Pelodiscus sinensis: one gene and its partner. The protein of the gene in region 1 binds, or shares a complex with, the protein of each later gene. Links are inferred from orthologs where the notes say so. Each region holds a gene or a part of one and is shown in the gene's direction. Other genes may lie near its edges. The genes, in order: LEPR and LEP.

The links.
Region 2: the proteins of LEPR (region 1) and LEP are in contact, whole or in part, in a crystal structure (PDB 7Z3R), measured with the Mus musculus proteins. The link is inferred for Pelodiscus sinensis from reciprocal best matches to the Homo sapiens genes LEPR and LEP. Residues at the interface, in NP_666258.2 of Mus musculus: Tyr439, Leu440, Thr441, Arg466, Ser468, Leu469, Tyr470, Gln499, Pro500, Ile501, Phe502, Leu503, Leu504, Ser505, Val560, Phe561, Glu563, Asn564; in NP_032519.1 of Mus musculus: Lys26, Val27, Asp30, Thr33, Leu34, Lys36, Thr37, Thr40, Arg41, Gln92, Gln96, Asn99, Asp100, Glu102, Asn103, Asp106, Leu107, Leu110.

The regions. Positions count from the first base shown.
Region 1 is NC_134719.1:18,300,375-18,311,533, forward strand, and holds the start of LEPR (leptin receptor), read left to right. Parts: upstream 1-5,942; 5' UTR 5,943-6,218; coding exon 6,219-6,221; intron 6,222-6,536; coding exon 6,537-6,582; intron 6,583-10,156; coding exon 10,157-10,447; intron 10,448-11,159. UniProt on the Homo sapiens protein: Receptor for hormone LEP/leptin. On ligand binding, mediates LEP central and peripheral effects through the activation of different signaling pathways such as JAK2/STAT3 and MAPK cascade/FOS.
Region 2 is NC_134711.1:14,970-26,128, reverse strand, and holds the start of LEP (leptin), read left to right. Parts: upstream 1-4,520; 5' UTR 4,521-4,596; coding exon 4,597-4,632; intron 4,633-8,506; coding exon 8,507-8,683; intron 8,684-9,747; coding exon 9,748-10,110; 3' UTR 10,111-11,159. UniProt on the Homo sapiens protein: Key player in the regulation of energy balance and body weight control. Once released into the circulation, has central and peripheral effects by binding LEPR, found in many tissues, which results in the activation of several major signaling pathways.

The DNA.
Region 1 (11,159 bases):
TCCCTCCCAACCTGGCCTTGGTTCCACCAGCTCCCTAGGTGTAACCCATTGCAGTGCTTCACCTCCCTCCTAGTAAATAGTTTTTCCTAATAACCAACCTAGACTTCCCTCACTGCTACTTAAGACCAGGCTAGCTCCAACCTCTTTGGAACCTCCTCTCTCCTTTCAGGTAGTTGAAGGCTGCTATCAAATCTACCCTCACTCTTTTCTCTCTGAAGACTAAATAAGCCCAAATCCCTCAGCTTCTTTCCATAAGTCATGCATCCCAGCCCTCTAATCATTTTTGTTGCCTTTCACTGGATTTTCTCGAATTTGTCCACATCCTTTCTTTGATTTCACCCGGCTTTCTCTCCCCACCCCCACTGTGATTAGAATTATATACGAGACAATAAACAAGGGTGGGAAACCTCACGCTCAAGGGCCAGATGCGGCCCTGGCTTGCCTGAATACAGCCCCCAAGGCTCCACCTTGCCCCCCCCTGCATTGGGGAGCCTGTGATGGTGCTCCAGCCTCTGTGCTGCCCCACCATGAGACTGGAGAACACAAAATCTATTACGCTGGGCCCCCCAGGCTCTGGTGTTTGAGGGGAATATGAAGAGTGTCTTTCTGCTTCTCAGTTGGGCCCCACATCAGTGAGGGCTTTTTGTGTGTGGCCCCTGACTGATTTTTTCTGTGGGTCGGTGGTCCCTGACCCAAAAAAGGTTTCCCACCCCTGCAATAAAAAATACAACTTCGGGACTGTGGCATTAACCTAAAAATGCTCTTCATTTAGAAGTAAGGAAGCAACAAACCTACTTATCCCAGAGTGCTTATATTTTGCTTCCTATTTTCTGCAACTATTGTTAGAAGACTTGCATTTTCTCCCTTAACTCATTTTTTTTAAAGTCATTGTTCACACTTTGGTGGGGTAAAAGGCACTAAACTCAGAGCCCAATCCAACACAACAGGAGCAGCAGCTGCCACCTTACCCTAAGGGTGCCCCTCTATGAAGTCTCAAAGGGCTTAGTCCTGTTGGTGCTTTTTTCCTACCCTATATCAGAGCTGTGGAGAGGTTCAGTGAATGTGCAGATGACCTCTAACTTTGGTTTGCTTTACAAATGTGTATGGGACTGTTTTCCAGTTTCTGAATGTTATTGGAACAAAGATAAAAAGAAGCTGCCCCAACTAAATCCACATTAGACAGATGTGATGGCAGTAGGAAAAAACAAGCATTCTAAGGAACTCACTGTAGCAGTGACCTCATTTTCTATCCGGGGCATCTGTCCACTGGTGGTCATATTAATACCTGATGTCCAAGTTCTATTTGATTTATTACTACTTACTCACATGGAAGCAGTGACCAGAAATTCCTTTGCCATCTTCCTAACCAGACAAGTATGATACTTCTTCTTGGTTATAGATCTACTTGTAGGGACCACCTTCAGCCTCCTTAGGTTTTACAGTGAAAGCATTATGGAAGCTGCACCTAGTACATCAAGGTGTGGTCTATGTACTGACAAGGACAAATGAGAGTACATACCTCACTGATGCACCATGATCTACTTTGAAGTAGTACCATGAGAACTGAATTCAACCCAAAATAGTGGCACTGATCTTAAAGCCCTTTTATGGGATAGCTCTGGGTACGTCTACACTACAGTGCTAGTTCGAACTAACTTAGTTCGAATTAGTTAATTTGAACTAAGCTAGTTCGAACTAACGCATCTAGAACTAAAAACTAGTTCGAACTAGCGTTTTGCTAGTTCGAACTAGCAAGTCCACATTGAGTGGACTCTGAACAGGGCTTAAGGATGGCCGGAAGCAGTGCCGGCAGGGCATAAAAGGAGGACTTAGAGCATGGAGATGCTGTCTCAGGCTAGCCGAGGGCTGCGCTTAAAGGGTCCCGACGCCCACCCCGGACACACAGTTCTAAGGGGTGCCCCGCTTGCAAAGAAGTTTTGGCTTGGAGTGCCCTGAGTGCCCACACTGGACACATCACACCACTCGGCCATCAGCCCGGCTGCACTTGCCGCAGGCTGCCATCTGGGGAGAGGGAGTAATTGGGGGGCTGCAGGAGAGCTTCCACCCCCAGAAGCCCGCAGAGCCAGCCCAGTCCTCCCCATCGGGGGCTCGTACCCCATTCCTCCCTCACCTCCTTCCACTTACCCTTCCTTAGCCCCCCTTCTTATTGATGTACAAAATAAAGATAACGTTTCTTCCAACATTGACTCTGTCTTTATTGAAAAAAAACTGGGGGAGACTGGGAAAAGGAGGTGGGAGAGGGGAAGAGAAAGGCTGGGAGAAGGGAGGGCAACTAACATGATCAGGGGTTGGGAACAGGTCCCAGATGAAGAAAGGCTACAGAGACTGGGACTGTTCAGCTTAGAAAAGAGGAGACGGAGGGGGGACAGGATAGAGGTCTCTAAAAGCAGGGGTTGGGTGGAGAGGGTGCATTCAGAAAAGTTCTTCCTGAGTTCCCATAAAGAAGGACTAGAGGACACCAAAGGAAAGGAATGGGTAGCAGGCTTCAAACTAGTAAGAGAAAGTTGTTGTTCTTGACAAAGCAAATAGTTAACCCGTGGAACTCCTTGCTGCAGGAGGCTGTGAAGGCTACAACTAGAACAGAGTTTAAAGGGAAGTGAGATCAAGTCATGGAGGTTGGGTCCATGGAGTCCTATTAGCCAGAGGGTAGGAGTGGTGTCCCTGCCCAAAGTTTGTGGAAGGCTGGAGAGGGATGGCACGAGACAAATGGCTTGGTCATTGTCTTTGGTCCATCCCCTCCAGGGTCCCTAGGGTTGGCCGCTGTTGGCAGACAGGCTACTGGGCTAGATGGACCTTTGGTCTGACCCAGGACGGCCATTGTAAGCTCAGGGCTCAGGGTCGGGGGTCTCAGAGGACCCCCTTGATTTTCATGCACACCTGGTCCTGGGTGGCCAGGCTGGCAGCTCTCCTGCCCTAGACGGCCACTTTCCTGTGCCTAGTGCGGAGATCGTGGACGAGGTCCACGATGTCCGCACTAGCCCAGGAAGGTGCCCGCCTCTTGCGGTCCAGGGCAAACTCCCGGGAGCCGCCAGCCTGGTCCCGGCAAGAGGGGGTGGGCTGGGGGGCATCGGATGGGTGGCTCTGTGCCGTGCCAGGTGCAGGGTCTGCTAGCTGGGTGCTGGCAGGCTTGCACCTGGCACGGGCACCGTAGCCAGCCCGTGCCCCTTTAAGGGGTCCGGGGCCGGGAGGGGGGCATAGAGTTTCCCTGGTGTTGGCCAGAGTGGCCACCAGGGAAACCTGGGGAGGGCTAGCCTCCCACTAGTTCGAACTAAAGGGCTACACAGCCCTTAGTTCAAACTAGCTAGTTCGAACTAGGCGTTAGTCCTCGTAAAATGAGGTTTACCTAGTTCGAACTAAGCGCTCCGCTAGTTCGATTCAAATTCGAACTAGCGGAGCGCTAGTGTAGCACCTATTAAAGTTAGTTCGAACTAACGTCCGTTAGTTCGAACTAACTTTGTAGTGTAGACATACCCTCCGATACTTAAGTCACAGTCTTTTCTCTATGGCAGTTATTGATGGGAACTCTGTGACTGACAGTTCTCAAGGGAAAGCTCTAAGGACTTGGGTTAAGACCTGTTCTCTTGGCTGTGGGATTTCCTTCCAGGCAATGAAGATATATGCCAGAGTCAAGGTGAGATAATTCTATAGCACAATTGTGATAATATCTAAAAAATATGGAGAGTAACAATAATCAGTGTACTTCAGTGCAGTACATGTCTGATTTCCTGGCTCCCCCCCGCAGCCCAACTGAGCTGCATGCCAGTTCCCGGGACCCCCTTGTACTCCAACTGAGCCGCCCACCGGCTCCTGTGCTGCTCCCTCCTCCCACAGCCCAACTGAACCATGCCTGGATCTGATTTCTGAAAGTATGTTTTCTGTGCATCAGGAGCTAAATTTTCACACTGAAAATCAGGTGGTCTACTAACCCTCATCTAGCACCACTCAGGTCCTGCGGATGCTGGACCAGGGAGGTTCAACCTATATAATCATTGTGTAATATTAGTAGTAGTCAGTGGTTCTGTCATGTAAAACATCACCTCCCAATTTTGTCTGTTAGAAATACAGAAAAGAATGGTTAATTTTCATTATAGGTCTATGGTAATTCTGGACACATTTAGAGCAAGAGCTGTAATTTGTTTATTACTTCCAGACTTCGTGTCCATCTATTACAGAATGGACTACTGGAGGGAGAAGTGTTGGTAGTTATGTGTTCTATGTTAATATGACTCTGTGTTAACTCTGACTGATATGGGATTTCCCCTATAGCTCTGCAGAGTAAACCCAGCTCAGCTGCTTATGGTTTGACAGATTAGAAAAACACTGCCAACCAGAAGAGTAAATCTTCATACTGAGTAGAGGCAGTGAAATAGTAAATCTAAGAGATCTTGGAATGTAGCCCAAAATGTACTTTAATTTTTCCTTTATCTAGTTTTAAATTGTACGTCTTTAGCTCTTGTCTGTATCTGCAAACCATAACTCTATGTAATACAGTATAGAAGAAATGCCCTTACTGGGAAGAGTACTGGCACCATAGCCTTAATGAAGGGAGATAATCCCGTTGACTTGTTCTGAATCTGTTGTGTTGGAGTTTACTTCTTTCGGGAATTTGATATTCCAAGTAAAATTAATTGGACTAAATCTTTTCAAAGTCAGCAGATGACCTGTCTGGGATGACTGACAAAGCCAGCGACTCATTTGTATCTGTAATTCAGTCTATAGAATTGAACTCCTGTTGAAGATTGAGGGTTTGTTGATTACATAGGATAAAAGGTTGGAAAAATATGCAAATGTGACATGTCTTTAAGTCTGTAACAGGTAGACAGGAGGTAGTAGCGGCTGCAGGAAGTTTTACCTAGAAGCTCCACAGTGAGGTCAAAGAAGACCAGTGCTAGCTTTAGCAATAATACTGGTTTCTTTATTATAATAAAGTTTTATGTTCCATATTGGGAGATAACTTTCTGTAGCATTGCTGCTATTTAGAATTCTTGTTTGAGTCCCAGACCTTTTGAGTATCCTTGCCAAGCAGTGCACTGGAGGTTTGTAGGAATTGGGAAGGAATTCTGCTCTCTTCTCTTCCCACATGCAGGTTCCCTCTCTTCAGGCCACAAATTTGGCAGCAGATTGGTTGCACTAGTCCCTGTGGTCGGTGCACTTCTCAGTATCCTGCTTTATGCAGGAAATGAATTACTAGTGGCTCCATGTAGTCATGGTTATAAGGCCCCTAGATAACGAGATCCCCTATGGGAGCCTTGTTTATGCCGTAAGCAACACCTGATGGCATGGGAAGGATTCAGATTCAGAATGAGGTTTTGCTCTGTAGTATATAGTGGTTATGGATGTCTTTGGGGACGTGCCCAAATCATGATTTCTGATCCTGGGTTTATAGATTCCATTGCAGGTAGGGTTCTCAGTCCAGTATGAGGGAAAGTATGATCAAGCACAGGAGGGTGAATTTTGTTGGGAGAAAATTCAGGACTGAATAGTAAACTTACTGAAAAATGCTTTTGATGAGCCACTGAAACTGTTCACCAATTCAGGCTGAATGTAGCAAGACACTGCAGCTGAAAGAAGCCTGGAAACAAGAAAGAATGGTTGAAGTTCATTTTGAAAATGACAAAATAAACCATTTTGAAATGATATTTGAAATGGGTTGTTGAATGCAATCTCTCTCTCTCTCTCTCTCTCTCTCTCTCTCCTTTCTGTTTCATTGAGAATCTCAATTTTAGTTTGAAACAAGCCCATTGCCTTCAGATTTTTTAGTTCAGTTGCTGAACTAAAAGGTCAATTATTAGCTCAGCCCTACAGACAAGTTGTATGAATGTAAAACTCAAAACCCAAGACCTCTGCTGAATAATTCATACCTCTGCAGATATTGTAGATACATTGATCATAATTACAAACATCTTTTGTAATTGGGTGTGAGTAGAATTTGAGAGACTACATGGCAAAAATCTGAAATTGTACTAAGCAATTATGTTTTAATTGTCGTGCTTAACTTTCCACTGTTTAAATGACTTCTTTCTGACTGAAAACGAATTACAGAAATCATGGGGATCAAACGTGTGCTGTATATTGGAAATTGCTATCTCTGTCATTTTAACTGTGCAGATTCACAATATCTTGAAGGGGAAGAATAGGAAATAATTTGCTTGTGAGTCAGGAAATGCATAAGGAATGAAGAGCGCTTCCTAAGTGTAATGGTGAGAGATTGCCTGTTTGATATTTAATCAATACTCTAAGCAGTGTTTCTTTTCTGCTGTGATGCTGTCTGTTCTGTCTTCCTTCCTGTAAAAGAGCAAACATCAAATTAATAAAGCACACCATTATTTTTAATTTTAAGAATTATACAGAGCCATGGTATGTTTAAGGAATCTATATTTTCATAGGTTAACAACATTTAAAGAATAGGCTTTTAAAGGATGCCAAGATCAAACAGAATAATAGATGTACTTCTGAAATGGAAACAATCTCTTCCATTGTTTCTTAATTTATTACATTTTGGTTGTTTTTTTCAGAACAAGATGTATTTGCATAAACTTTTGACTGTGTTTCTGCACTTGGGTAAGTTGTACTGAAAATGTGGGTTTTTCTGAACATATTCTGTAGCTATTGACTTTGACAAAGTAAAAACTTGATTCTGCAAGATGCTGAATGCCCTCATTTCCAATGGAAACATTTGATGCACAGTACCTTACAGACTGGACAATAACTTTCTGATGAAAATAACAATGCAAGTGATAGCTGATCAATATCTAATTAGCTAGTTTTGATAAAAAAATGATTGACAAACCTGCAACTGTAATACATTTATTATAGTTAGTCAAGAGAAACTAGTGCAGCTCCCATAACTAGCATTCATACAGATAAGAATTTTATGGGCAATCTGGACCCCGCTGAAGTCAGAACAGAACTCATATTGACTTCAATGGAGTGAGGCTTTCACATGAAGTTGGTTGGTTTGGTTTAGTGCAAAAACATATCCCCCTACTTCATATACAGAATCGTTGGAATGAGTGATCAGTTTATGGTAAATATAATAGCTCAAATATGAGGACTTCATTTTTCCTTTCTGATGTAGAAGAAATAAACAGAGTAGATTAAATCAGATGTGCATGAATTTTCTCATGCACATTAATATTGGTATATGCTGTAGAACAGATTTCATTTCACTTGTAACTTTAGTTTAGTTGGCAAATTGTCCTTTTAAATTTCCCAAGATGTTGATGAAAGATAAAGTAGATATTTAAATCCAATGCACTATGTTGTTTCAAAAGTTGTTTCTCTCCAATCTTTGCAGCAGGTTTTCTTAGGCTTTTTCATGTCTTTATTTGTTCAATATCAAATGGGTCATTACATTGTCCCAATTTAATTCATATCTTAAAATTACCTGCATTTATAGAAATGTCTTTTAATTGGGCAACTAGAGCGCTCAGGGGACTTGAATTGGGAGATAGAGTTGTTTGTCTCTAGTCACTGGTCAGCAGATTTCTACTTGTACTGTTGCTTCTTATACTAGACCTGTTCTCTAGATAAATTCCTATATCGGTGACAAGTGAATATTCTTACTGTCTACTGATTTATAGAAAAAAGCATGTGTTTATTGAGGAATATAAAATACACAAGCCTGTGCTCAGTAATACTATTACAATTTTATTGTAGCTTATTCATTTCATTTACCTTTCTTGAAAAGGTATTGTAGCAATGGCATGCACATTGATCTGATGGGATTTGGTTGGTTTGTCCTGTGAGATTCTGCAGTGTGATTTGTCCTTCAAAATTAATATATATCTATATCTATATCTATAAGACAAACTGAAATCCCCTTTCAGTGCCAGCTGTAAAATGGGCAGCATATTAGTTGTATATCCTGACCCGTAGATAGTCATGTCCCTCAATTTGTTTTTGCATCATGGATAATGCACTAATATTCTGTTCAGTTAACTGAATTTTCTACATGGAGTCAGGGAACTTAATGACACTGATGTTTGACAAGGCACAGACTCTGCCTTGTTAAACAAGAGAAAATACACACCATTATGGGTACTGCTGATCATAAAATATGTATATCCAAAGAAACTGAACACTTCAGATACTGATGTGAATAACATGAATTTACCTATCAGAGGGGTAGCCGTGCATCTGACGAAGTGGGTCTTTGCCCATGAAAGCTTGTGCTCCAATAAATCTTTTAGTCTATGAGATGCCACAGGACTCCTTGTCACTTTTGCATAAATTTACCTAGAAACCTATTTTTCACTTTGCAGTGGTTTACTATTCAGTTTATGTAAATATTCTAGCAGATTGTGCTTGTGAAGACAAAAGACAAATACTCTCTTGTTTTTGTTATTGTGGGATCCATTTACAAGATGTTTAGGCTCAAGACATTTTTATGTAATAAACTGTAAATATTTCCTGCATGTTACACTAAAAACAAGGATACCTGTAAGCCAGTTACATGAATTTCAATAACTAAAGCTTTTTTTAATTCAAAGAGGCATATTTATCTTTATCAGAAGTATTATTAGCAGACTTCAGTCTCTGATTTACCAACAGAAGCCATGTAATATAACAAATGTGTTCCTACATTATATACAGTTTTTATTTTCAAGGCATCTAACCTTAATAGAAAATACCACCTTTTACTAGATATTATTTTCTATAAAATCAGTCTTTTGGGACTGTTTATCTACTTGGCCATTTTTGTAAAACACATTAAACATGGATTTAACAATTGTAAATAGTGTCTTGTAAAATCACAAACAAGTGTATGGTGGCAGCATTTAAAAACTATTACAATGAACAAAACCTGAAAGAAAAGACATCTGATAATTTTAAATGAAATCTTGGCATCATTGAAGCCCCTTGACACAACTTTCAATTACTTCTGTGTAGCCAGGACAAGGCTGCCAACTGCAGAAAACTGTTTTTATGGAAAGTATAGAAAAGAATTATGGACAACCAAACTTTTTATGGACATTCTTATATAATGTAAAGATGGCTCAAAAGGACAAAACTGAATAGTAGGCTGTTGTGATGTATGAATAAACACATTGAAAAGTTATTATGCTAGTTTAACTTGCCTACTAGCCACATCAGCATCCTCCAAGTTCTGCAGTTTGTGATCAAACATCGCAACAGTCACACTGTCAAACTTTGTATTAATAATGTTTTTTGACAGCCAATAATCCTTCCTGCATAGGACTTGACAGTTTATATCTCTCTCTATATATTAAAAAAACCTTTTCCTACGGGATGACAAAGTGATGGCATCACGTCACTCTACGTCCCCAGGAGCCCTGACCACATGACAGCTCTGTGAAATGGGGAGACAGTATCTACATGATTTTACAGATTCTATGCACAGGTCCAATTTTCACACGTTTTTTATGGACTATCTGTGAATTTACTGCTGGCTGACAACCCTGATTCAGGATTTCACATATTATCACTGTAGGTTTTTACATTATTATAAACACTAGAATTTCTTTTGCATGTCTTTAGAAAATGCTACAAATAACATTTTTAATGCAGTTTCTGTACTCACATGATGATATTCGTTAGCAAGGACAAAATATTTCTACATATATTATTAGTTAACAGAGAGTTAAGCCACAATATTAAAATTCAGTTTATGAACACCCCAAAATTGGGCATATCCAGGTTCTAAAAATTTAGAAGATAGCTGCAAAATGTGGACCCAAGTCTGGATTTTCAGACCTCACAGTTTGTGTGTGTTCAGCTTTAGGGCTAAATTTTCTCCTAAATTGATGCATCACCTTTGACTTCAATCCCTGTTTAATGTGTTAATTCTAATTAATTTGCAGCAGTTTACACCAGGAGACAACTATAGATTTTTCTCGTGTTGGCCTATCTTTGTTTTTGTTTTTTTCTAATGTGATGTTATATGCAGTAATTATAAAAAATGAGCAAAGGTAACTTTATTCAGGTATGAGGCATATGGGTGAGATCTGGAAGCCTAATTGAATAAATCTATGCTAATTCAGAGGAGACTGGCACTTGGAGATTCTTGTCTAATATTTTTAAGCACCTTTGTTTCCTTGGAACAGCAGCTAGTTTATTTTCATAGTTGCAAGTAGCGTAACTCATTTTCTTCTTTATATCTTTGTATTTCCAGATTTTATTCAGCTGGCAGTTTCTCACTGTATGGTACATCAGATTCCAGCATCAAGCTTTATGTTCCCTTGCATGTCACCAAATGAGACTTCTGGGGTTGTGGAGAGCAGTCCTGGGTCACCTGGAGAGCATGGAACTGCTGAAACCAATTCTCTGGTGCAGGTGGCTGAAGAGAGTTTGCTCTGTTGCCTATGGAATGAAACACACTCAGATTGTTCTTTGTACACAGCAGGCATTGAAACAAAGACATTTATTTCCTCAGAAGTAAATATCTTAGCACCTCAGCAAACAAGTAGGTTTCTAGTGTAGCTCTTTAAAGTGAGTCAATAATGGACATTGTGTTTTCTTTGGGTTTTGAATATTTTCTTATTGTTATCACTTGTTTCCATTTGTGCCTGGATTGTACTGGTCACTGTACAAACTTAAATGAAGGCAAATTTCTTGCCCTGGAGAGAGTGAAGAGTGCCAAGTAGAAAGGCAGACAAAAGATAGAAGTGGTGAATGGTCACGTGTTGATGATATAAATCCATTTTGTTAGTCATATAGATGACTGTCCTCAGTTGTCCCTTACTTTTAGCACTTACTTACTAGTTGGCCAACTTCTTGTGAGTGTCATGATAGAACTGGGTCTGCAGAGGCATGCTGAATAAAATGTAGATAAGGACATAGACATTTTGAATGGATTTTTAGCTTGAGAAAGTGAATCTTGCCCTGCCTTCAGGTCCACGGTATGTTATCATCCACTGTGTCTATACTTGCATCCTGTCATTTGAAAGATGGTTGTTTATTCCTCTTGCCCTCGTGCACAATGTACGTAGTGGGAAAGGTAATGCTGAAAGTCCAATTGAGATAAGCAAGGTCAAGATTTTATCCTGTATTTTCAGCACTGCCTCTGATCAGGTCTTCTTTTCAAGAAATGGTCAGAATTATTGTATTGATTTCTAATGCTGCAAAGAGGTGTTGTTCCTGAATGGTAGCAAAAAGATTAAAAATAATATTAGAAA
Region 2 (11,159 bases), on another chromosome or scaffold:
CCTGTTAAAATTCTAGCGTTCGCCACATCCTCTGGTGAGGAGTTCCACAAGTTGACTGTGTGCTGAGTAAAGAAAAACTTCCTTTGTTTGTTTTAAACCTGCTGCCTATTCATTTCATTTGGTGACCCCTAGTTCTTATAGTGTGGGAATAAGGAAATAACTTTCCCTTATTCACTCTTTCCACATCAGACATGATTTTATAAACCTCTATCCTATCCCCCCTTAGTCTCTTTTCTAAGCTGAAAAGTCCCCGTCTTTTCAATCTCTCTTCCTACGGGACCCATTCAAACCCCTCGTCATGTTTGTTGCCCTTTTCTGAACCTTCTCCAAAGAGCTGAATGATCGGACAGGGGCTGCTTCTCCGCCCAGTGCCAGGATCATGGTGCACCCTGCTGGGGGGTGGCAGGGGGGTGGAGGGGCAGCAGGGCTGAGGGGTGAATGGGCACCACAGGGGGAGGCCAGCGAGAGGGAAGCAGGTGAAGGGCTGATGCATGGGCAGCGGAGGTGACGTGTAACCAGCCAGCGCCAGTGATGGCTGGGAGCCGGGCGGAGGAGGCCAAGAGCCGGCCTCAGCAGGGGTGGCACTGACAGACCAGCAAGGGGAGCAGCCAGCCTGGCACGCTCCCCCCCAGCATCGGCCACAGGATCCCCCTCTAACTGGGTGGGCATCTGGCGACCCGGATCCGGCCAGCACCAGGACCCGCCAGTACTGATGGGAGGGGAGAGGCAGAAAATATGAAGCAACCTCCCCCCCCTTTTTTAAAGTGGGGACGCCTGCAGGTGGGCTTAAATACAGGACTGTCCCTTTAACAACGGCCCCTCCAGGCACCCTGGGCAGCAGAGATCCCAACATGCTGAGCAGAGCCGTCGGGGCCGGCGCTGGGGATAGCGGCAGATGCTGGGCCTGTGCCCAGAGCACACGGCAGAGTCCGCGCCGGCTTTCTGTGCACACCACAGGGAGGGGGAAAGGCAAAAGTCTGGGGGAGGGGCATTTTTTGTGGCTGGAACCAGGCAATTTTCCAGACAAACGTCGCTGGGCCCGGCCAGCGCTCACTCTGCCAGGCCACCCAAGGGCAGGTTTTGGCAACGCCCCTTTGGGGTGCACCAAGCCGTGGGGCCCAGCGGGGCCTGCCTAGAGTGACCGAGGGCTGTGCCGGAGAGCAGGGGCGGGGGGCAGACCCCTGGGCTGGAGCTGGGCGTGACTCGGCCTGGGGAAGGGGGTGCCCGCGGGCACACGGCCAGCCGCCTGACGTGGTCCAGTAAAGCCCCCGGCGGAGGCGTGCTCAGGCCTGTGCCGCCGGGGGGGCGCCCGGGCGGGGGAGTTGGGGGCACATGAGCGCCAGGCCCGGCCCGCTGACGTCACTGGGATTACTCGTGTGAGGGGGGTTGCTCAACTGAGAAAACCTGCCAGGGCCGGCCCCACCCGGTTGACACAGCCGAGGAGGAGCTGGAAAGAGGCACCGGGCGCCGGGCTGGCAGCCGGCGAATAACCCTGCGGCCCTGGGGACGCAGCCAACTGCTATTTCCTGCCAGAGGAAACGCGCTCCTGAGTGACGTTCCCTTCCCTTTCCCGCCACAGGAGTCACACCCTGCCCCCGGCCCAGCGCTTCCGAGAGCTCCCTGCCACGGCCCACGGGACGCTCCCCCAGCTCTGCCCTGGTTCATGGCCCCGGGAGCTCCCTGCTCAGTGCAGGAAGGTGGCCAGCCGGTCCCTGGCCTTGCCAAGCCTGGCACAGGCTGCAGGGGAGAACAACCCACCCCGGGCTGGACGTGGCAGGGCGCCGCGACACCCCAGCCGCAGCATCGGCTCTATGCTGAGAGCGACTCAGGCGGAGAGCCGCTGCCTGAGCCCGGGGGCACGGTGCCAGGCCGCAGCCCCAGGAACAGCGCCCGGACTCTGCCAGGGACTTAGGGGCTGTAGGTAATAAGAGCATCAGTGCGGCCCAAAGGTCTGCCCAGCCCCAGCTCCTGTTGCACAGCGCCAGGGCCAGCGGCCAGCAGCAACGGCGACCGGGGGCGAGCCTGGTGCCCGCGGTAATTGCGACAAGCTGGCCTGCTGGTTTCAGGGCAGGGGACTGGACCCGGCGGCTCTCGAGGTCCCTGCCAGTCCTAGTGTTCTGGGCGTCTGGTTCTATTCAGCCTTCCCCAGGCCTGCGAGGTCGCGCACCAAAGCCCCCGAGCTGCTCTGCGAGTTCCCGGGTGATCCAATCCTGTAAACTCCCCGGCACACCCCGGCGGGGGGGCTACAGCTCTGAGCATGGAGACCCCCCCGCGACAGACCTGTACGTGGCAGGCCAGGGGAACAGGCTGGCGCATGCTCGAGGGCAGCGGTGCCCAGTAGGAAGGGGAGTTAACTGGGCCTGTGTGCACAGGGGGCCTGTGGCCCTGGGAGGCGGCTCTGGGGTCCCTGCCCCCCCCCACCCCCCCAGGCACATTTTGAAAACGCAGCGGAACGCTGGGCTATTTTCAGCGCCCGTTGCCTGTTTTCTGGCTCACCGGAGCCGAAAGGGAACTGGGGCAGAGGGGGAGGGGCTGAGGATAGGAAGGGCTGCAGGGAGTCCTGGGGAGGGGAAGCAGCCCCTAAAACACCGCCCAGGGATTGGACCCAACGCTGCCTCTGTCCCCCCGAGAGCGGCGCCGCTGCGGCAAATGCGCCAGCTGGAATTTTGAATTGTTTTAACAACCTCCGCCTGCCGGGCAGCTTCCCGCGCAGCTCGGACTTTCCTTGCGCCAGTCGCTGCCTTCCGTAATGGAAAGGAGCTCAGAGCCCCCCACTCCGGCTGCTGTTCTCTTCACCCCTCCGCTAGCCCCCCCATCCTTACCCTCCCCTCCCCCCCGCGCAGCTTTTGAAAATATTGCGCGGCTCTGGGTGCCGAATGCAGGGAAGCCAGCTCAGCCAGGCTGGAAGGGCCCTGCCGCTAGCAGGCAGTTTCCGGGACAAGGGGGGAGCGGTTGCTCGGGGCCAGAGCGAGCTCGGGGTGTCTTTGGTGCAGGCCAGATCGGCCCCATGTTCCGAAGGTGCCGGGCTCCTCCGCAGCCCCGCGCGCCCCTGCCCCGTGGTGCGTCCCGCGTCGCCAATCCAGCGCGGGAAACGCGGCTGGGGCACGGAACTCGGACCCGGTCAAAGTGGAGTCCAAAGTCCCGGCAGGAAGAGCCCTTCATACGGATTCGCCCAGCCGCGAGCAGGGGAGGGGCCCGGCGTTTCTGTCCCACCAGAGTGCGGAAAGGACTCACTCCCTCCCTCGCAGCCGGGCCGGGCCCTGCGACAGACAGCCCGACAGATGGGGGCATGGGGGTAGGTGCCTGGTTGGACAAGCGGGTTTGGATGGAGAAATGGGGGTGGGGTAGATGGGGGCGGTGGAGGGGGGTGGGGGATGGATGGGTAGCTGAGGTGGCGGGATGGTTGGATGGGTGAGGGGTGGAAGGATGAGGGATAGATCAAGGGATTTCTCTCCTGTTGTCCATCTCCACCCTCTGACCAACAGAGGCCAGGGACCCCCTTCCTTACCCATCCTGGCAAGTAGCCACTCATGGACTTAACCTCCATTAATCTATCTAGCTCTTTTTTGAACCCTGTTAAAGTTCTGGTCTTCACCGCATCCTCTGGCGAGGAGTTCCACAGATTGACTGTGCGCTGAGTGAAGAAAAACTTCCTTTTATTAGTTTTAAACCTGCTGCCCATTCATTTCATTTGGTGTCCTCTAGTTATTCTATTATGAGAACTAATGAAGAACTTTTCTGTATTCACCCTCTGCCCACCACTCAGGATTTTACGGACCTCTCTCCTATCCCCCCTCAGTCTCCTCTTTTCCAAGCTGCAAAGTCCCAGTCGCTTTAACCTCTCCTCACATGGGACCCTTCCAAACCCCAAATCAGTTCAGTTGCTCTTCTCTGAACCTTTTCTAGCGCCGGCCTATCTTTTCGGAGAGGAGGCGAGCACATCTGCCCTGTGCTCCAGATGTGGGCGTCCCGTGGCTTTACGGAAGGGCAATAAACTAGTCTCCCTCATTCTCTAGCGCTTGTTTAATGACTCCAAACATCCTGTTTGCTTTGCGCCGGCCGCTGCGCACACGCCTTCCGAGAAGTGTCGGCGCGACTCCGGGCTCTCCCCGGGGTCCTGGGGCTGCATTAGCCCCTCTCGCTGGGCGTGTGCGTCACTTCCACTGACCCACCGCCCCTTCATTGGCCGTCGTGTTGCCCACTCGCTCAGTTTGGGGAGGCCGGGGGGAAGCTCTTCCCAGCCTGGTCGGTCTGGAGTCCCGGGGGCAGCTCTGTCTCGATCTCCGGCTTTGCCCCTCCCTGCTACCCCCTTCTCCGGCTCCTTCATTCATCCCTTGAATGGGGGGGTGGCTGGAGCGGGGAGGGGTGGGGGAGGGGCGGCGGAGGAGGGGGGGTGAGTGGGGGGGGAAGGGCGGAGGGGGCGCACGGCTGGGGTGGGGGGCGCTAGTCCCGGAGCGGGAGGCTGGAAGGGGCGCCCAAGACCCGCGGCGCGGCCCGGCCCGGCCCGGGGGGAGCCGGAGCCGGAGCCGGAGCCGGGGGGATGAGTAACCCTTGAGCAATCCCGCCGCGGCGCTATATAAGCCGGCCCAGCCCGACATGGGGCCAGCGGCGCGGCGGGAAGCGAGCCGGGAGGTAAGGTGGGGGGAGCCCTTCCCGTCCTGTCCCGGCCGGAGCCCCGCGCCTCTGCCCCGGCGCGGACTGGGAAGAGCCCCTCGGGGCGCGGGGGGGCGGGGACCGCGGCCCCGCGAGTGGGGCGGGGGCTGGGGGCAGATGAGGTCCCCGCCTGGCTCTGCCGGTCCCGGACGCGCTCCGTGCCTCAGTTTCCCCAGCTGGTAACTGGGGCTGATGCTCGGAGGTGAGTGGGAGGGACAGCGCCAGGTGGCAGTGTTGTGCGAAGCGGGGCGGGGGGGGGGGCTTTGCCCCTCTCGGAGGGGGGGAGAGGAGAGGAGGAGTCCTGTGAGCCCAGCTAGACAGGGGCATCCTGGGGAGGGGGGGCTGAGGAGAGAGCAGCCCAAAGCAAAGAAGCAGGTGAGAACGGGAGAAAGGCGTCAGGGAAACTGAGGCAGTGGGGGGAGGGGAGGCGAAGAGTGCCCAGGGGCCTGGGGCTGGCGTGATGCCAGCAGAGCCACAGTCCTCTCTTGATGTGCTGGGGGGGGGGGGCTGGTGCTAGCTCAGCCCAAGGCCCAGGGGGTGCAGCGGGGGGGAGGGGCAGCTCCCTCTGGGCGCTCGGGTGTCCCAGCCCTGCCAAACCACCCCGAGGTGCTACCCAGCCCGTGTGAAACTGCACCCAGGTGGGGGGGGCCCAAAGAGTCATGGGCGCAAACCGACCGGTCCTGAGTTCTCACCCGTGTCCCTCGCTGCCCCTCGGGGGTCTCCCAGGCCGGGTCTTGCTCACAGCTCCGGGCAGGCCCCCGGCCCCCTTCCCGGGTAACGCCAGGCGGCTGGAGGGGCACGCGCCCCCCGAGCCTCTGACCCGTCCCGCTGGGTCCCGGCAGGAAGGACCAGCCCGCTCCCCTCTCTGTTCCTGCGCCAGGGCGGGTGCCCGTGGGCTGTGCCTGGCACAGGGGCTCGGCGGAGGGGCCGGGGCCTGGCGAGCCGCTGAGGGGAACATTCCCTGCCACATGCGGACGGGCAGGGCTGGTGCGGGGGGCCGGGGCTGGCTGCCTGGGCAGCGGGCAGCGCGTCAGCCCAGCCGGACAATTCTCTGCCCCCATAACTGGGCACCGTAACGTGACCCGTTAGCAAGGCCGGACGCCTCTGGGCTGCCCGCCTCCCGCACGGCAGCGAGCGGATCAGAGGCAAGGGGGATGGGCACTGTGCCAGGATCAGAGGCAAGGGGGATGGGCACTGTGCCAGGATCAGAGGCAAGGGGGATGGGCACTGTGCCAGAACCCAGCTAGAGTCACGCGGGCCTCTGACCTCGGCCCCAGAGCGCTGCAAGGCCTCGCGGCTCCTCTGGCCTCCGTCCCGCCTCCCGCTTCAGCTCATCACCAGCCCCTCCCGGGCACCGCCCTGCGCCCACCAGTAGGCAGCGCTGCCATGAACCCCCCGGCAGGGACAGGGGAAACTGGCCGCACTGTGCACCCAGGAACCCTAAGGAACCCCTGGGGCAGGGCTGGCTCTAGCTTGCCTGGGGGGCGCGGCTGGCTCTAGCTTGCCTGGGGGGCAGGGCTGGCTCTGGCTTGCCTGGGGGGCGCGGCTGGCTCTGGCTTGCCTGGGGGGCGCGGCTGGCTCTGGCTTGCCCGGGGCAGGGGGGCTTTTCTGCAGGGCAGGAGGGACTAGCCGGGGGGCACGGGGAGCAGTCCAGGGCCCGGCCCCAGGCAGCTCTGCTGGGAATCCCGGCCCGAGGCAGGGAGCCCTGCCAGGAATCTCAAAGCGAAACCTTGACACAGCACAGAGGGTGCGGAGCCGCATGCGCCCCCGGCCAGCCCGCCCCTTCCCTGGAGCCGGGGAAGGGCGCCAGCCGGCTGCCAAGTGAGCCGCAGGGTGACCTGAGGACGTGGGGAGCGGCAGGGAGCTGCTCTGCAGGCCAAGGCCCTGCCGGGAGGGGCGAGCTTGCGGCTGACGGAGCAGCCTAGAGCCAGGAGCCCTTGGCTCCGTTCCTGGGGCTGACACAGCCTGTCGCCTGCGGGGAAGCCGTTCAGTCCGACCGCTCCCCAGCGGCTCCCCGCCCGGCCCACCTGCCGGCTCGCCAGCCCGGGGCTCTGTGGGGCAGAGCCTGGGTCCATGCAGCACCCGCCCCGCCCGGCCCACCTGCCGGCTCGCCAGCCCGGGGCTCTGTGGGGCAGAGCCTGGGTCCATGCAGCACCCGCCCCGCCCGGCCCACCTGCCGGCTCGCCAGCCCGGGGCTCTGTGGGGCAGAGCCTGGGTCCATGCAGCACCCGCCCCGCCCGGCCCACCTGCCGGCTCGCCAGCCCGGGGCTCTGTGGGGCAGAGCCTGGGTCCATGCAGCACCCGCCCCGCCCTGGGGCAGCTCAGCCAAACTGCTCCCAGCTCGGTCCGACCCCCGGGGAGGGCGGCAGGTGCCCGGGCCATGCAGCTGGAAACATCAGGCCTTTACCTCCAGGGAGAGCTCCTGGGCCCCTGGGGGGCAGGTCTGGGCCCTGGCTCCAACCGCGTCACGGGCTAAATATCCCCGAGGCAGATTCCAGGGGCTGCTTCTTCCTTGCGCAGGCAGAGCCGAGGGCGGCTGCAAACTGCCACCGGGCGGATTTGAACCTGGATCCTCTGGAGCTTCCTGTAGGAGCCTGGGCAGGTTGGCTACGTCTACACCACGAGTTTTCTCGGCACAAAATATGCTAATGAGGGACTCGTTAGCATGAGTCGCAATCTCATTAGCATATTTCCTGCCGTTTCTTTTTGCACAAAAAGAAGCAGCGTGGAGGGGGTTTTATTGTGCAAAACCCCCGTTTTGCGCAAGATCCTTGGGCCTCTTCGGGGTTTGGGACAGGTCCCATATGAAGAGAGGCTAAAGCGACTGGGCCTTTTCAGCTTAGAAAAGAGGAGACTGAGGGGGGATATGATAGAGGTCTATAAAAGCATGAGTGGTGTGGAGAGGGTGAATAAAGAAAAGTGATTTACTCGTTCCTATAATAGAAGGACTAGAGGACACCAAATGAAATGAATGGGGAGCAGGTTTAAAACGAATAAAAGAAAGTTCTTCTTCACACAGCGTGTAGTTAACCTGTGGAACTCCTTGCCAGAGGAGGCTGTGAAGGCCAGGACTAGAACAGAGTTTAAAAATAGTAATAGAGATGTAGCCGTGTTAGTCTGGCGTAGCTGAAACAAAAGACAGGACTGTGCAGCACTTTACAGGCTACCAAGATGGTGTATTAGGTGAGGAGCTTTCGTGGGCCAGACCCACTTCCTCAGATCAAATAGTGGAAGAAAATTGGCACGACCATATATACCAAAGGGAGACAATCAAAAAAATGAACACATGTGAAATTGACAAACCAGATTTTAGAACAGAAGCGGGTGGGGGGGGGTTAGTGTCTATGAGATGATGATATTGGGGTGATAATTGGGGAAGCAGATAGCTAATAACATTATCTCATAGGCACTAACCTCCCCCCTGATCATTGTCTTCGGTCCACCCCCTCTGGGGCACCTGGTGCTGGCCACTGTCGGCAGACAGGACACTGGGCTAGACGGACCTTCGGGCTGACCCCGTCCGGCCGTTCTTATGTTCTTATGTTCTCTCCCGCAAAGGCATAAAAATCTTGTGCAAAATGGGGGGGTTGCACAGCCCCCTCCCCCCAAAGTGCACAAAAAGCGCTTGAATGAATTATGCAAATGAAGCGTGGCGATATGCTAATCCACACTTCCTTTGCGTAGGCTCTTGCGGCAAAAGCCGCAGTCTAGACGTAGCCCTGGAGCGATGACGCCGGCTGGCGCTCAGCTAAGGCGGTAGAGCTCCCTTGTTCGTCTCTCCCCTGGACGTGGGTTCGAGGGGTGTGTCACACAAACACGAGGGTGTTTCACAGCCCCGCTCTCGCCCACGCAGGGCCTCGGCGAAGAAGGCAGGAGGAAGATGCAGCGTCCCCCCTTGCCGCTCTGCGGGCTGCTCTGGGTCGGGGTCTGGCTGCCCCTCTTCTCCAGCCGGCCGGTGAAAATCGACAAGGTCAAGGCCGACGCCAAAGCCCTCACGCGGATCATCATCGCCCGCATCCCGGAGCAGCAGGTAGGAGGGGCGAGCCAGCGGGGGCCACGGGGCTGCGTGTCACCCGCGGGCGCCAGCAGACTCCCGGGCCAGCCCCCAGAAGGTGCAAATCGGCGCCAGCCTAGAGAAGCCAGGGGGATGCCGGTGGCAGGGAGAGATTGAGGTGCCACCCAGCTGATGAGCCGAGCACCCACGGGCCTCCAGAGCAGGTTGCATGTGTTTCTATCGGTGGTGCACATCTGCTCTTGCCTTGGTGCACACAGCAAACGTTATTCCGCACAGAGGCGGACAAATTGGAGGGAGCCTTAAATCCACAGTCCTCCCTGGGACAGCTAACCTCCGAGGCCGGGCTGCTGGGTGTCCCGTCCTGGCGGCTAGCACCCCCTGCTGCTTTGGGCCCCTTGTCCGCTCCCGCACGGGGCCGCTAGCTCCTTGCTCTGCAGGGCTCCGTGTGCATCTCGCACGCCCACCCTGAGCCCTACGGACCTGCACCTCGCAGCCCCTGGCTCCGCGAGCCGCTTAGCAGGTGCCCAGGACAGCCTAGTGGCTCAGCTAGAGGATGGAGCCAGCTCCAGGGCCCGTCCTTCCTCCCGCCCCAAAGTGAGTCGCTCGCTGCCACGGGCTGCAAACTTTCTCCTGCCTGTGCCCCTTGCATGCCATGGCACCGTCCCCTGTCATGTGTCCTCTCCTGCGTGCGGAATACATTTTGTTCTGCGCAGCGAGGCATGTGAGGGGGTGCACCACCTGCTGCCAACTGTGATAATCCTCAGTGGCCCCCAAGCACCCAGCTTACAGGGGATACTGGCCATGACCTTGCCCCCTCCCCCGCTGGCTTGGGACCCCCCAGGGTAACTCTGGGTGAATCCAGGGCAGGGGGCCTCAGGATGCAGATGGAACCACCCCCCCCCCCCGGTCATGGGCCCCTCCCCTCCCTGCTCTGTGCTGCCGACAGCCCCTGGAAAGGGGGCCCACCCGTCCCAGCTTGGCCCCAAGAGGAGCTGTCTGGCCTAGTGGGGGGGCAGCCCCGGGGAGAGGAGAGAGCAGCCCTGCACCTGCCTGGCTGACCAGCCTTCTCCTCCGCCCAGCCCTTGCCTCTCAACCTGAAGATCAACGGCCTGGACTTCATCCCGGGAGAGCAGCCCCTGGGGAGCCTGGACTCCATGGACCAGACCTTGCAGCTGTTCCAGAGGCTCCTCCCCAGCCTGGCCTCGGAAAACGGGCCGTTAGCCCAAATCGCCAACGACCTCGAGAACCTCCGGAGCCTGCTCCAGACCCTGGCGTCCCAGCTGGGCTGCGCCATCCACAGGGCCCCGGCGCTCGACGTGCTGGGCAACCTGACGGAGCTGCTGGCCACCTCCTCGTACACCGTGGACGTGGTGGCGCTGGCCCGGCTCCGGCAGAACCTGCACGGCATCCTCAAGCGCCTGGATCGCCTCCAGCACTGCTAGCGGGGACCGGCCGCCGCACGGCGCCAGAGCCAGGCCCCCCTGCGCTGCGCCGACCGGCAGCGTCCTTCCCCCGCCAGCGCGGCACGACGATACCGGAGCCCCGGACTCGAGCCAGGCCTCCGCACTGCCGGTTGAGCAAGGAGCAGCGCACGGAGCCCTTACTGCCCGGTGCTTCGCGGACAGTCTGAACTGCCGGCAGGAGCAGAGGGGCCGGGAGCAAGTTTCCAGGATTTATTTATTCTTTCGATTTTGTGTTTAATTTAAGTTTGAACTGGGCTGCACTGACCCAGCTGCCTGTCTAGGGGCAGCCCCCCGCTGCGGGAGGAGAGGGGCGGTTAGCGGCCCTCCTGGCTCACTCGGAAGGTCCCGTCCGCCCAGAGGGAGGGGGCGGGTGGAAGCGCCGCGGCGGGGCAGACTGGTCCTGCCGCGGGCGGGGGGCTGGACGTGGTGACCTCCCGCGGTCTCCGCCAGCTCTGGGATGCTACGACTCTGTGACGTGCGTATTTATTTCTGCTGTGCTCTGGTTGGAAGTAAAGTGAATCCCTTTGCAGCTGACCTGTCCCCAGTGGCCCTGGCGAGGGGATTTCGTGGCCTTTCCGTTCAGAAACTCGGGCAGACTTTGCGGGGGGAGGCGCCCGTTCTGCACACGGATCCGCCCTGCGGGTCCCTGCGCTTTGGCTCCGGCCGCGGCAGGGGGTGACGGCGCGGGGGGGCCCCCGACCCTGCTCCCCGTCCGCAGCCAGAGGGGACTCCGCCGGGCAGTAGGACGGGGAGGGGTTCTTGCCTCTCGGAGGCCCAGCCCGGCCCCGGTTCCATGTGGGCAGCGGAGTCAGGGCCAGGCAGCCTCAGACCCCTCGGGCGGGTCCACAGGCCCCTGAGCCCCCAGTGCTCGACTTAGTCTGTTCTCTCCACGTGTGCCCAGCCGCGACTGCCCCCCCAGCCACCGTCACTCACCCCCCCAGTAGCCCCCCCTCCTCTGTTCAAACCCCTCCCCCTCGCCACGTGGGCTGTTGCTGGGCCATGGCCTCCGTACCTGCCCCCAGGGACCC